Ovis aries: one gene and its partners. The protein of the gene in region 1 purifies or fractionates together with the protein of each later gene. This does not show direct contact. Links are inferred from orthologs where the notes say so. Each region holds a gene or a part of one and is shown in the gene's direction. Other genes may lie near its edges.

Region 1 (4,115 bases):
GGCAGTGCCTGAGAATGACAGTCACATTGGAGTGCCCACCCCACTGTGCCCCTGGAGAACTTCCTGGACTGTGTCCAGGGAATCTGCTCTGTGAACCTAGGCGATTCTTGTGTGCCTTTAGGTTCGGGAACACCACCCTCCCGAACCTTGTAGTGGAGTGCATACAGATTTTGTTTTGTATTTAATGTATAAATTTGACCATGAGGCTGTGCTGTGAGGAATAGTCATATCCAATTTCAGTTTTAAAGTCGCCTTTAGATCTAAGTTCCCAGTTTGCTTTGGGTGGCACTCTGCACATCCTAGTATAACTGAATAGACAGAAAAGAGTTTAGCCTTTAGAAGGGTGGTTCCGTCTGTCTCACTGGTTGTGCTCAAGCCCCCTTCTGTCGAGGTGTCTCTCCTGAAGCCTTAAGCTGGCTGGCGGCACCCTCTGTGCCTCTGGCTCTGACATCTCTCCTGTTTTCCACACTCACACGTCTCACTGGGACGTCTACAGATGTGATCGTGTGGGTGTTCCTACAAGCATCTATTCTCCGTACCTGTGTCTCCTCTTTGATTTCCAGTCTCCGTGAAGGCCACCACCATTGTCCCAGGCCCCAAACCACATAAGGTTGGAGCCACCCTTTATGCTTCCTGGCTCTTCCTCATGTTTGCCTTTGAAGCCCCAGGTCCCCTCACTTCACCTTGCACAGTGACACTTGTCTTCAGCCATGCCTCCCCCTCCAGCCCAACTCTTGGACTTCCCTACTTGTTCCCTGAAGGGTTTGACTTGAACTAGTTCCCTGAAGGGGCCGTGTTCCCGGGGCCCATACTTTGCATGTGAAGTTGTCTCTTCCTGGAATCCCTTTACTGACTCTGCCACGTAGCTGACATCACTCCCATTCTGACTCGAAGCGTTTCCATCAGGACACTTCCCCTGCCCACATCCTTTTCCTCTTGCCTGAGGTCAGTGTCCTTTCCTGTGTCCTGTGCATCCTCTGTCGTTGACCTGCCACGTCACATTGTTGTTTTAATTCACACATCTTCACCACAAGAACAGGAGCGTCTGTAGGGCAGGAATTCATGCTGACGTAAAATCGATGCTCAATAAATGGTTGTTGAATGAATGAGTGAACAGATTATGAACAAGCACCTGGCTTGTGAACGGTCTTCACCTCTTTGACTTGGTTAAATCATCAGCGATGAAGACTAGAAGTGTGCTTGCTGTTGTTGAGTCGCTGTTACCTTCTCTCTATTAATGGAGAAGCTTCGGTGGCTGGAAGCCAGTTCTGGAATGGTAAAACGATGCCGTTGCTTTTGTATTCCAACAGGAACTATGGGATGTATAAAGTCAAAAAGGAAAGACAATCTGAATGACGATGGAGTAGATTTGAAGACGCAACCAGTACGTAATACTGACCGAACTATTTATGTGAGAGATCCAACGTCCAATAAACACCAAAGGCCAGTAAGTAGATAGTCTCAGGGGAGCGTTCCCACGGCAGGATCAAAACATGGCTGCGTAATTTAAACTCCAAATCTGTACCATGTGCATGCCAAAAAAAAAAAAAAAATCATGTTAATTACTTGGGCCTCAAATAATTTTTGATATACTTTGTAACTTAATCCTTTAAAGAGTTTATAAATATATTCGAGACAACCAGGTCACTTAATGTACAATAAAGGGGCCTTTGGTCACCTTCTTATGTGTGGCGATTATCACCTTTCCTGTCACTGGTACAAATACCCTCTCTTTATATGTAAAGACACGTATACGAGCTTGTGTGACTTAGGATGGGCAATAAGATTAGTGGTCTGGAAGCAGAAGGAAATGCTGAATTCTAGTCGGAAGCCAAAATAGGTGCTAATATGCCCTTTGGTAGATGTTGGTGTCGTTTAGTCACCCAGTCACGTCCAGCTCTTCTAGACCCCATGGACCATAGCCCACCAGGCTCCTCTGTCCATGAGATTTCCCAGGCAAAAATACCGGAGTGGGTTGCCATTTCCTTCTTCAGAGGATCTTCCTGACCCAGGGATCAAACCTGTGTCTCCCACGTTGGCAGGCATATTTTTTACCGCTAAGCCACCAGGGTAGCCATCATACTTTATCCCATCATGTTGTTCTTCAATTAATTCAAACTAGTATGAACACTGAAGTTGTCATGACTTATTATAGAGAATTAAAAGATTTAAGCCTTCTAACGTAGGACAAATATCTGTACCAGCATTTTTACATGATGGATGTGCTCTCTGATGTGTTTGAGAAATGCTTGGCAAAGAACTAATACCACATTTCATGGAAGAAAGGAACAGAGCTTTGGATAATTACAACCTTAAATGCACTTTACTTCAGATCTTAGGTCCTTTCTGTTTGCTCACTGTATATATGTACATCCCCCATTGCCTGGTTTTTATGGAAACCAGTGTTTCAGCGTTTAAGCTGAAAGCAGCTTATTCCACATGAGTCCAAATGCCTTCATTAAGAGTTTTCATTGTTTCTCTAATCTGACATGTTTTTAAATGCCTTGGCATTCTCGAAGTATACCATTGTTGTCACTCCCTGTACCAGCCCCCTCCCCCACGTTCGCCCTTATCCTGCAGGTATGGTGTGTGTCAAGGTCACATGTCATTGTTGAGATTGGTAAGTCGGTGTTGGCATTCTTGCAAAAAAGTAGAGATGAAAAGTGAGGACATTATGCTGTTAATTCCCTACATATTTCTAGACAGATAAATTAACATTAATTTAGGAACTTCCCTGGCAGTCCAGTTTTTAAGACTCTGTGCTTCCAATGCAGGGGGCAAGGGTTTGATCCCTGGCTGGGGAACTAAGATCCCATAGGCTGTGGTGCACAACCAAAAAAGAAATTTAAGAAAAACATTGTGGACTTCCCTGGTGGTCACTGGTTAAGAGTCCTCCTGCCAATGCAGGGAACATGGATTTGATACCCTGTCCAGAAGGACCCCCATGCCAAAGGGCAGTTAAGCCTGTGGGCCTAGAACCCGTGCTCAAGAGAAGCCGCTGCACTGAGAAGCCTGTATACTGCAGCTAGAGAGTAACCCCGTAACTAGAGAAAGCCCATGCACAGCAATGAAGACCCAGCACAGCCAAAAATAAAGAAAAAGATTTTTTAAATGTTGTAATTTTATAACAGAAACTCAAAATGTACAAGATTATTAATAAGTTTTATAATTTAGTTATAAATACCTATAAACATAATATTCAAAAAGACATCACATAAATAGGTATAGATGTGGAGCTATGCTATGGAAATATGACTAACAGAAAATGAAATGATACAAGGACTTGGAGTCACAGATAATTTTCTCGTTATAGACTTCAAAGGTGTCATAAAAAGGACCTGACTTTTTCTAGTGTCATGTGCTGTAGATTTTACATGGTTTACAATCCCCCATTTTTTGTTAATGTAATGAAAGAAGATGTCCTTCATTCAGAAAAGCAAAGGAGACCAGTACAAACTTACACACCATTTTTCCTCTTGCCAAGAGTAAAGGAGGTTAAAAGATAAGTTCGAAAGCAGAAGTAGGAAGCATGTTTGAAATCTCTCAGTTCCCTCATGCACCCCCGGAGCGCAGCACACTCCACCTTCTCTGGTCACAGGTGCCCTGGTTTGTAACTGGGCAGTTGGGCCTTATTCCATGGATAACATTCAGTTCCAGCCAGATGTGCCCGAAACACACCCCTGGATTGATTACAGGCTGTATTGTGTGACAGCAAGGCTGAACTGACACAAATTCAATAACACTCTAAGGAAAAGACATTTTAGAGAAGGAAAGTGGTGACAGATGAGGTCTATACATGTGTTTTGGCCTTCTGAAGAATGTGTTCAATCATTTGTCAATTAAGGACTCTTTGACATTTGAAAATCAGCTTGCTGCTCTCAAAATGATTTAATCAGTCTCTCATCTTCTAATTGTTTCCTCTAACTCCTTTAAAATTGATCATACATTCTAATTATGCAAATCTGAATGAGTTTAAAAATCAGTATAGAACTCCTTGAAATAAGTATTGAAAGATCATCCGGAGCCAAGAGTTTCTGAACCAGAAAAACGTAATCCCCTGCTCCCCGCCCCTGGAGATTTGATGGGCTGACTTCCATCAGAAATTTAAATTTCAG
Region 2 (3,644 bases), on another chromosome or scaffold:
GTTAACTAGTTCTGGAAAGAAAAGAGTAATTTTTAAGCAGAAGCCTGCTCAAGTGCACCTTTCTGAGGAAGCCATATAGCTGTGACAACTTTGATTTTTACTTTTCTTGTCTGTATTCAAGTGGATGGCCTTAAAATTTGCCATTTTGCATCTTTAAAATTAACTCCCAACCCCTCTAAAACCCCGTTCTGTGTGTTTTCTGCCTCTGGTTTTCTGAGACACTGCAGGGCTGTGTCACGCTCTGATGCTTGGGTCAGTGGTCTGGGAGGGGGTTGAAGATTTAAGTTGATTTATTCTCTCGTGCTCCAAGCAGACTCCCTACACAAATGCTTCACCCGAGCTGTGTCTGGGTGATTGTTTTCAAAGTTGCCGTCTCTAGAGGGGATTTTGGGTGGGGAGGCCTGCTGCGTGATTTCCGTGGTGGGCTCCAGGGTTGTATTTCAGGCCTCCCAGGGACCCACCACGTCCTCCTCTGCTGCCAGTCTTAGCGGCCTCTCCCCTGACCATTGCCCTGGGCCTGTGCTGCAGGTGGTACTACGATGGGCTGAGCCGCGGAGAAGCGGAGGACATGCTGATGAGGGTCCCCCGGGACGGGGCCTTCCTGATCCGGAAGCGGGAAGGTACTGACTCCTACGCCATCACCTTCAGGTAAGTATCTGAGCTGCAGCCACTTCTCACTCTGCGGAGGCGCCTGGGCAGGGCAGGTGGGAGAAGAAAGCAGGAACTGCAGGTGGGTGCTGAGCCCAGTGTCCTCTGTCCAGAGTGTCAGCTGTGATGGGGACAGTAATAGTAACAATGATAGCAAAAGCAGATGCTGACGTGTGCTTTCAGCATGCCAGGCACTGCTCTGTACTCCCGAGAGTAATGTGGTTTACATGAATTCATTTAATCCTCCCAAAACTCTGGGGTGAGCGTGACCCATACCCCTGCTTTTTGGAGGAGGAAACTGAGGCCAGGGTGATGGAACGACCTGCTGAAAACATGTAGCCCATTAGTGGTGGAGGTGGAGTTTGCACCCCAGCAGTGCTGGCAACCCAGATGGGTGATGCAGTTCCGGTCTCCTCCCATCCGCCGTTGCCACTGACTGCCAGTGGGCAGGCCATGTGGACCAGCCATCTCAGGGCTGTGGCTCTCTGTGTTAATTCTACCCCAAGACACCTGAGTCCTCCAGTTTCCACCGAAAGCAGTATGAGGGAGGGTCAGACCCCATTCATCAAACTGCCCCTCCATGTCCCCATCTGCAGGGCTCCCCTGCGTGTTCTTGGTGATGGTAGTGGAGTACTGGGTGCCAAAGACCGGGTTCCCAGGTGATGTTCCGGACACTGGGCTGCCTTCAGGGCCTCACCTATTTATTTTCATTTATTTATTTTTCAATTAATATTTTTTCAAATACTTTAAAAATATTTATTCATTTATTTAGCTTTGCCAAGTCTTAGTTGCAGTATGTGGGATCTAGTTCCCTGACCAGGAATTGAGCTCAGGGTGTCTGCATTGGGGGTGCAGAGTCTTAGCTGCTGAGCCGCCAGGGAAGTCCCTTCCAATACTCTTTTGACCTCACTGCATGGCATGTGGGATCTTGGTTGCCTGACCAGGGATCAAACCTGTGCGCCTTGCGTTGGAAGTGTGGAGCTTGCCAATGGGTGCCAGGGAAGTCCCGCCACGTCTGTCTGTCTGGTGCCCTAGGACGGGGGACCGGGCTGTCTGTGGTTCCTGGGCTGGTGTGGCTGTCACCCGGCTGTGGGACGTCAGCCCCGTGTACTCTCCCCCCAGGGCCAGGGGCAAGGTGAAGCACTGTCGTATCAACCGAGACGGCCGGCACTTCGTGCTGGGCACCTCCGCCTACTTTGAGAGCCTCGTGGAGCTGGTCAGCTACTACGAGAAACACGCGCTCTACCGGAAGATGAAGCTGCGCTACCCCGTGACCCCCGAGCTCCTGGAGCGCTACAACATGGTGGGTGGCTGACCCGCCCGGGATGCGGCGGACACTGTCTGAGGTTACGATTCACCTGTTGGTTCATTCAGCAAACCTTTATTGAGCACGTACGTGTGTCCCACACGGCTCTGGGTCCAAAACTGCAGAGTGGACTCAGACTCTGCCCCTGTGCTCTTACAGTCCAGTGTGGGTGAGACAGACGACACACGAAATGAAGAACTGTCAGAGCACGTGTCAGCTGATAGGATGATAAGACAGACACTGAGCCAGTGTTACAGACATGCTGAGGCAGGTGGATAAGTGGGTAGATGATGGGGAAGGGGCTGCAGTTCTCAGGGGTGCTCGGGAGGGGCTTGCTGACTAGGAGACGTGGGCAGACACTCCAGAAGTGGAGGAGACAGCTTGCAGCTGTGAGGAGGAAGAAAGAACAGTCAGTGCAAAGGTCCTGAGGTGAGAGCATGCAAGGAGGCAAAGAGGAGAAGCTGGTATGGCTGGACCTAAGTGGTCCAGGGTTGGGGCAGACCTAAATAAGGATGGAGCTGCATGGAGTGGGGCCACACACAGCGGCTTTTATTCTGAGCCATTGGAGGGTTTGTCTTTTTTTGGGGGGCCATGCCATGCAGCATGAAGGATCTTAGTTCCCTGACCAGGGATCAGACCTGCAGCCCCTGTGGTGGAAGTGGTATCTGGACCACCAGGGAAGTCCCCACTGGGGGACTCTGAGCGGTGAAGGGGGCCAGTCTGATTATCGTGTCCCAGCTCCTCTCAGCCAGATTCAGTACGTTGTTGGAAGGAGGCTGACTGCACTATCAGGAGCCGAGTGTAGATGCTGGGAGAGCTTGGCGGAGCACCGTTAGCCCTTGGCACATTCAGGTTCTAGAAAGGTGCCCCGGGCAGGGCGAGTTACAGTGAAGACGAGAACAGGATGGGGCGCTGTGGGGTGGGCACTGTGTTAGACTGGGGCCGGGAGCTGGGAGCGGGTCTCCTGCAGAGGGTGGGAAGGCAGCCGGGGGGCGGAGCGGCTGGGGAGCTGTGGTGGGTTCCAGGTAGGGGGCAGGCGGGCGCAGGACCACAATGTGGGGTGGGGGTGCAGCCCAGTGGGGGGCCGGGGAGGGGCAGGAGGGGTCTCCAGTGTGCGCTGGTGAAGGTCTACCCGCTCTGCGGAGAGAAGCCCCGCTCTGTGGCGTTTGCCAGTTTCTGTGCCTTGAGCACTCCCGCGGTGGCGTTTCAAGCTGCCGACATTGAGCGTGGGTCAGGAGAGTGGTGAGCTCGCCCCAGGACACCAGTGCCTTGCAGGGCTCGTGTTTGGACAAAGGAGGATGGTGCCTGGCATGCGGTAGGCCCGTGTTGGGGCCTCTCTGATCCTGGGGTAAGATTTCCAAGTTTTGGGGAATTTCTTAATAGCTTCTTACTGGCTCTGCCTACAAGGTGAATAAACTGAGGTTTCAGCTCTTCTACTAGAAGGCAGGAGACCATGAGGATGCGTAGAATCCTTGTTCCAAGTTAGGGCTGTCCCGGGAGCTTGAATGACTCTATTTATTTTTCTCTCTTCTTTTACAGGAAAGAGATATAAACTCCCTCTATGATGTCAGCAGGATGTATGTGGATCCCAGTGAAATCAATCCTTCAATGGTACAGTGCAGACTTCTGATTCACACTATTACCTCGTCACTAGACTGACATGGATAGTCCCAGGTGGCTCAGTGGTAAA
Region 3 (4,157 bases), on another chromosome or scaffold:
TCAATGTTTCTTTCTAGATACAAATGAAGTTGACATATGCCCTTCTCCTTCATGGGCAGAGGAGAAGAAGAAGAAGAAGAAACATTTTTCTCCATATGTTACAATGATAAACTTTACAGTGGTGTTCTGAGAACACTGCAAAATCTGAAAGTGCTTTTCAACTGTCAGAAAAAGATTACATTTTCACTGCGCTGAATAACAAGGAACAACTTTTGCCGGGACAGTCTTCCTCTCAAGAGAGCTGGGCATCCGTGAACAAGTCCGTTATCTCTCTGGTTTCAGCCCCTCGTACCTGGGAGAGGTCGCTAAGCTCACCGTTAGCGGTTTGCGGAACACTTCCTTGTTTCCGGCTCTGACTTCTCCCATCCGACGTGAGCCTCTCAGAGCGTACTCAGTCTGATTCTGTGTCCGGGACTTAGCACAGAGAATTTGCTGGCTCAGTGATTGCCTCTCGGACTCAAATGTTGATCACTCTCGTGTAATGATGTTGAGTTACAGTGTTAGTCGCTCAGTCGTGTCTGACTCTTCGCGACCCTATGGACTGGAACCCGCCAGACTCATCTGTCCATGGGGTTTTCCAAGCAAGAATATTGGAGTAGGTTGCCATTTCCTTCTCCAGGGGATCTTCCCGATCCAGGGATCGAACCCGGGTCTCCTATATAGCAGGCATATTCTTTAACGTCTGAGCCGCAGGAAAGTCCTTGAATTACAGAATTCGTTTCTTTGTAAATTAGTGATCAACGCCAGGGTTACGGAGAGAACGAACGGAATTTGTCGCCTTTAAAAGCTATTACTACACGGTTCGTGTTGCTAGCCCCACATTTTAACGTATTCTCGTTTCCTACTTAACACTGTGTATTTGTAGGAAGTTCTTTGTTTTTTTTACGTTCATTGATTTAAACATTTTCTTCCTCTCCTTTTCTCCGGCTTCTTCACTTTTCTTTGTGATTGGCTGCAAATCATCTTAACGTGATTGGCTAGGGCATCTGCCCGTTATCTTTTCTTTGCTCCGACGGGAGAAATAAGAAAAAAAAAAGTCTTAAACTCAGCTATTTTATTGGCTCCGGTAAGGACGTACGGCGAGGGGATTGGGCAGCTCAAATTTGTGATTGGTTCTTATACCCATCAGTCACACTGCCGGAAACCAAGTCTATTGCGGCTGGTAGGGTTTTCATTGGTCCGGAACTGCCCCGCTCGCTCGCCCGCTCCCCGAGCCCGCCCCCCCACCCGGTTGCCGTGGTTGCAGGCCCGGCCCGCCAGCTCGTCCGCTGACAGCGAGCCTTTAGGGCGGAGGGAAGCGGGTCCGTTGGTCCGCCAGGCACGAGGCTCCGCCGGCGGCCAGGCCCGCGCGGAGCCGTTGCCATGGCAGCCGCCGCCGGAGGCGCGGACGACGAGTCGCGCTCGGGCCGCTCGAGCTCCGACGGCGAGTGCGCGGTGGCGCCCGAGCCGCTGACGGGTCCCGAGGGCCTCTTCTCCTTCGCCGACTTTGGGTCTGCGCTGGGCGGCGGCGCGGGCCTCCCGGGCCGGGCGTCCGGCGGGGCCCAGTCCCCGCTGCGCTACCTGCACGTCCTGTGGCAGCAGGACACGGAGCCCCGCGATGAGCTGCGCTGTAAAATCCCCGCGAGCAGGCTGAGGCGCGCCGCCAGGCCCCACCGCCGGCTCGGGCCCACTGGCAAGGAGGTGCACGGTGAGGAGCGCGGCGGGAGGCGGGGCTGGCCCTCGGCTGATCTCCCCAGCCGGCTCAGGATGGAGTCCTCCGACATCTGCGCTACGGACCTGGAGTGACCCCTGAGTCTCCTTCCAGTAGGAATAGTAGTCGTATGACTGCTAAGAATCATGAGTGTAAAAAAAAGAAAAAAATAGTCTTCCTGCTCAGAAACAGTCCCGGAGGCTTTTCACATTGGGTAGTTGCTGAGTAGAAACGGATTCCTCGCCCCAGGTGTAGATAATACATGGGGTAGTGGAGAATATTTTCGTATCAGAGCCAAGTCGTACCAGCTTCTTTAAATGGACAGACCTGGGTTGGACTTTTCTAGCTCATGGTGGCCTTAGGCAAACTACAGATCCTTTCAGTTGCAGTTTTCTTATCTGTAAAATGGGAATGGTATGCTTTACAGGAATGTTGACAAGAGTTAGGTAAAGTAGGGAATGTATAGTCAATATTTGGCCTTCAACGTGTGCCAGACACTGTTGGGTGACAATGTGGTCATTTTCTTTTCTTTTTAAGATTTATTTATTTATTTTTGGCTCTGCTGGGCCGTCTTTGCTGAGCGCAGGCTTTCTCTAGTTACGGTGAGTGGGGGCTGTTCCTTGCTGCCGGTTCCCAGGCTTCTCATCGCCGTGGCTTCCCTTGTTGCAGAGCACGGGCTCTAGGTACACAGGCTTCAGTAACTGCAGCTTCTGGGCTCTAGAACTTAGGTTCAATAGTTGTGGCGCATGAGCTTAGTTGCTCAGAGGCATGTGGGATCTTCCTGGACCAGGGATCAAACCCGTGTCCCCTGTATTGGCAGGCAGATTCTTAACCATTAGACCACCAGGGAAGCCCTGTGACGGTTTTTGATCCTCATAATAACTCATCAAGATCCAGATACCCGTTCCCACTTTACTGAAGATGAAACTGAGGCTTGGAGAAATTGTCTTGCTCTAAGTCACATCAGTAGAAATTGGTTGTGCTGGTATTAGAACTCCTGCTCTGATACTTCTTCCATATTGTCTTTTACATTTTATGGATGCCGTGGAAACCAACACCCTGAAAGACTTAAGAATGGAGACTTTTAGATTCCCTCTAGGACCTACTCATCTTAGTGGTGTTATGAGGATTGAGAATTTGAAAGTGCTATATGAATGTAAGGAATCATTATATATCTGAGTTGTAATTTTTGTCCATTTCTCTGATGATAAAAGTATTGCTTTCTATTACCCTCTAATATAGAGGTAGTGTCATTGTGGAGAAAAAAGTTTCTGTGTGGGAATTATCAGATTTAAATATGCCATTTAGGAGAGGCCTGTTTTGAAGGAGAATATAAGATTATATGTGTAATCAGCTCACAAAGAGCTTTGTAAATCATCTCATTTGATTTTTGCAACAACTCAGGACTGTCAGGACAGAGCTCAACCTTGTTTGTTCTTGATAGATCTGAAGCCCAGGGGCTTAACTAACTTGTTCAAGGTCACCAAGTGGCAGAGCCAAGATCTGGCTGCAAAGGCCTTGGAGGATTTGCTACAAAATGTGACTTTTGCATGAGCTGTGCCACATTTCAGGTTTCTCCTGGTTGTATCCTGGCACCTCTCTTTCCTTTTAGATGCTTTTTTTTTTTTTTTTTTTCCATTTGGCAGTGCTGTGCGACACGCGGGATCTTAGTTCCCCAACCAGGGATCAAACTCGTGACCCCAGCAGTGGAAGTGCATGGGTCCTTAACCACTAGACTGCCAAGAAGTTCCCAGGAAGCCATTACTTTCTGCTTCATCATGGCCGTTGCTGGGGTTTTTTTTTTGTTTGTTTTTTTAACTGGCACTCTTATTGTCTTCACAGCTCTGAAAAGGCTGAGGGACTCAGCCAATGCCAACGATGTGGAAACAGGTGAGTGTGCAGAGTGAGTCCGCTCCATGGTCTGGTTAGGGAAGGAAAAGTCCATGTAACCAGTACCTGGGAAGACAGCGCCTGAATTCTGCCAGCTCAGCCCTGGGACCACTGTATCTATTGTATAACTGCTGTCACCTTACAGATGACAAGTCTCGTTCAGATGCTTACTCTTCCCATGCTTGCCTGCCACTCCTTCCTGATGTCAGAGTGTTTATTACCCTGTGAGCCCCCTCACGGCGGGAGCTTTTGTATCCCTGGCACCCAGCTGCAGAGTAGGAGTTTTTGGGAACTTCTGGCTAAAAGGAATGAGTCGTCAACTTGAACCGCAGGAGAGCCACCATCTGCATAGAACCCTTCAGCTGCTCCCCTGAGGCTTGGTGGTAGTGGGGTTCGTGGTTCTCAAACTTCAGTTGACAGAACATCTGAAAGGCAGGGGTGGGGCTCCTAGCAGGACACGGCTCTGTTTTTTTGTTGTTGTTGTTGCTCTTCATCCTTTACTAGCTGACAGGGCAGTAGCAGCATCAAAGGTACAAGACAAGTTATAGGAAAAAAAAAAGATTTAATTTTATCCACT

The links.
Region 2: the proteins of LYN (region 1) and PLCG2 purify together in Homo sapiens (affinity purification with western blotting; 3 studies listed by BioGRID, with this or other methods). This does not show direct contact. The link is inferred for Ovis aries from reciprocal best matches to the Homo sapiens genes LYN and PLCG2.
Region 3: the proteins of LYN (region 1) and ANKRD54 purify together in Homo sapiens (affinity purification with mass spectrometry; 3 studies listed by BioGRID and IntAct, with this or other methods). This does not show direct contact. The link is inferred for Ovis aries from reciprocal best matches to the Homo sapiens genes LYN and ANKRD54.

The regions. Positions count from the first base shown.
Region 1 is NC_056062.1:36,185,972-36,190,086, forward strand, and holds the start of LYN (tyrosine-protein kinase Lyn), read left to right. Parts: upstream 1-1,315; coding exon 1,316-1,384; coding exon of another isoform or gene 1,385-1,447; intron 1,448-4,115. UniProt on the Homo sapiens protein: Non-receptor tyrosine-protein kinase that transmits signals from cell surface receptors and plays an important role in the regulation of innate and adaptive immune responses, hematopoiesis, responses to growth factors and cytokines, integrin signaling, but also responses to DNA damage and genotoxic agents.
Region 2 is NC_056067.1:7,912,768-7,916,411, forward strand, and holds part of PLCG2 (1-phosphatidylinositol 4,5-bisphosphate phosphodiesterase gamma-2), read left to right. Parts: intron 1-528; coding exon 529-648; intron 649-1,770; coding exon 1,771-1,951; intron 1,952-3,493; coding exon 3,494-3,565; intron 3,566-3,644. UniProt on the Homo sapiens protein: The production of the second messenger molecules diacylglycerol (DAG) and inositol 1,4,5-trisphosphate (IP3) is mediated by activated phosphatidylinositol-specific phospholipase C enzymes. It is a crucial enzyme in transmembrane signaling.
Region 3 is NC_056056.1:215,480,200-215,484,356, reverse strand, and holds the start of ANKRD54 (ankyrin repeat domain-containing protein 54), read left to right. Parts: upstream 1-1,263; 5' UTR 1,264-1,362; coding exon 1,363-1,687; intron 1,688-3,532; coding exon 3,533-3,580; intron 3,581-4,157. UniProt on the Homo sapiens protein: Plays an important role in regulating intracellular signaling events associated with erythroid terminal differentiation.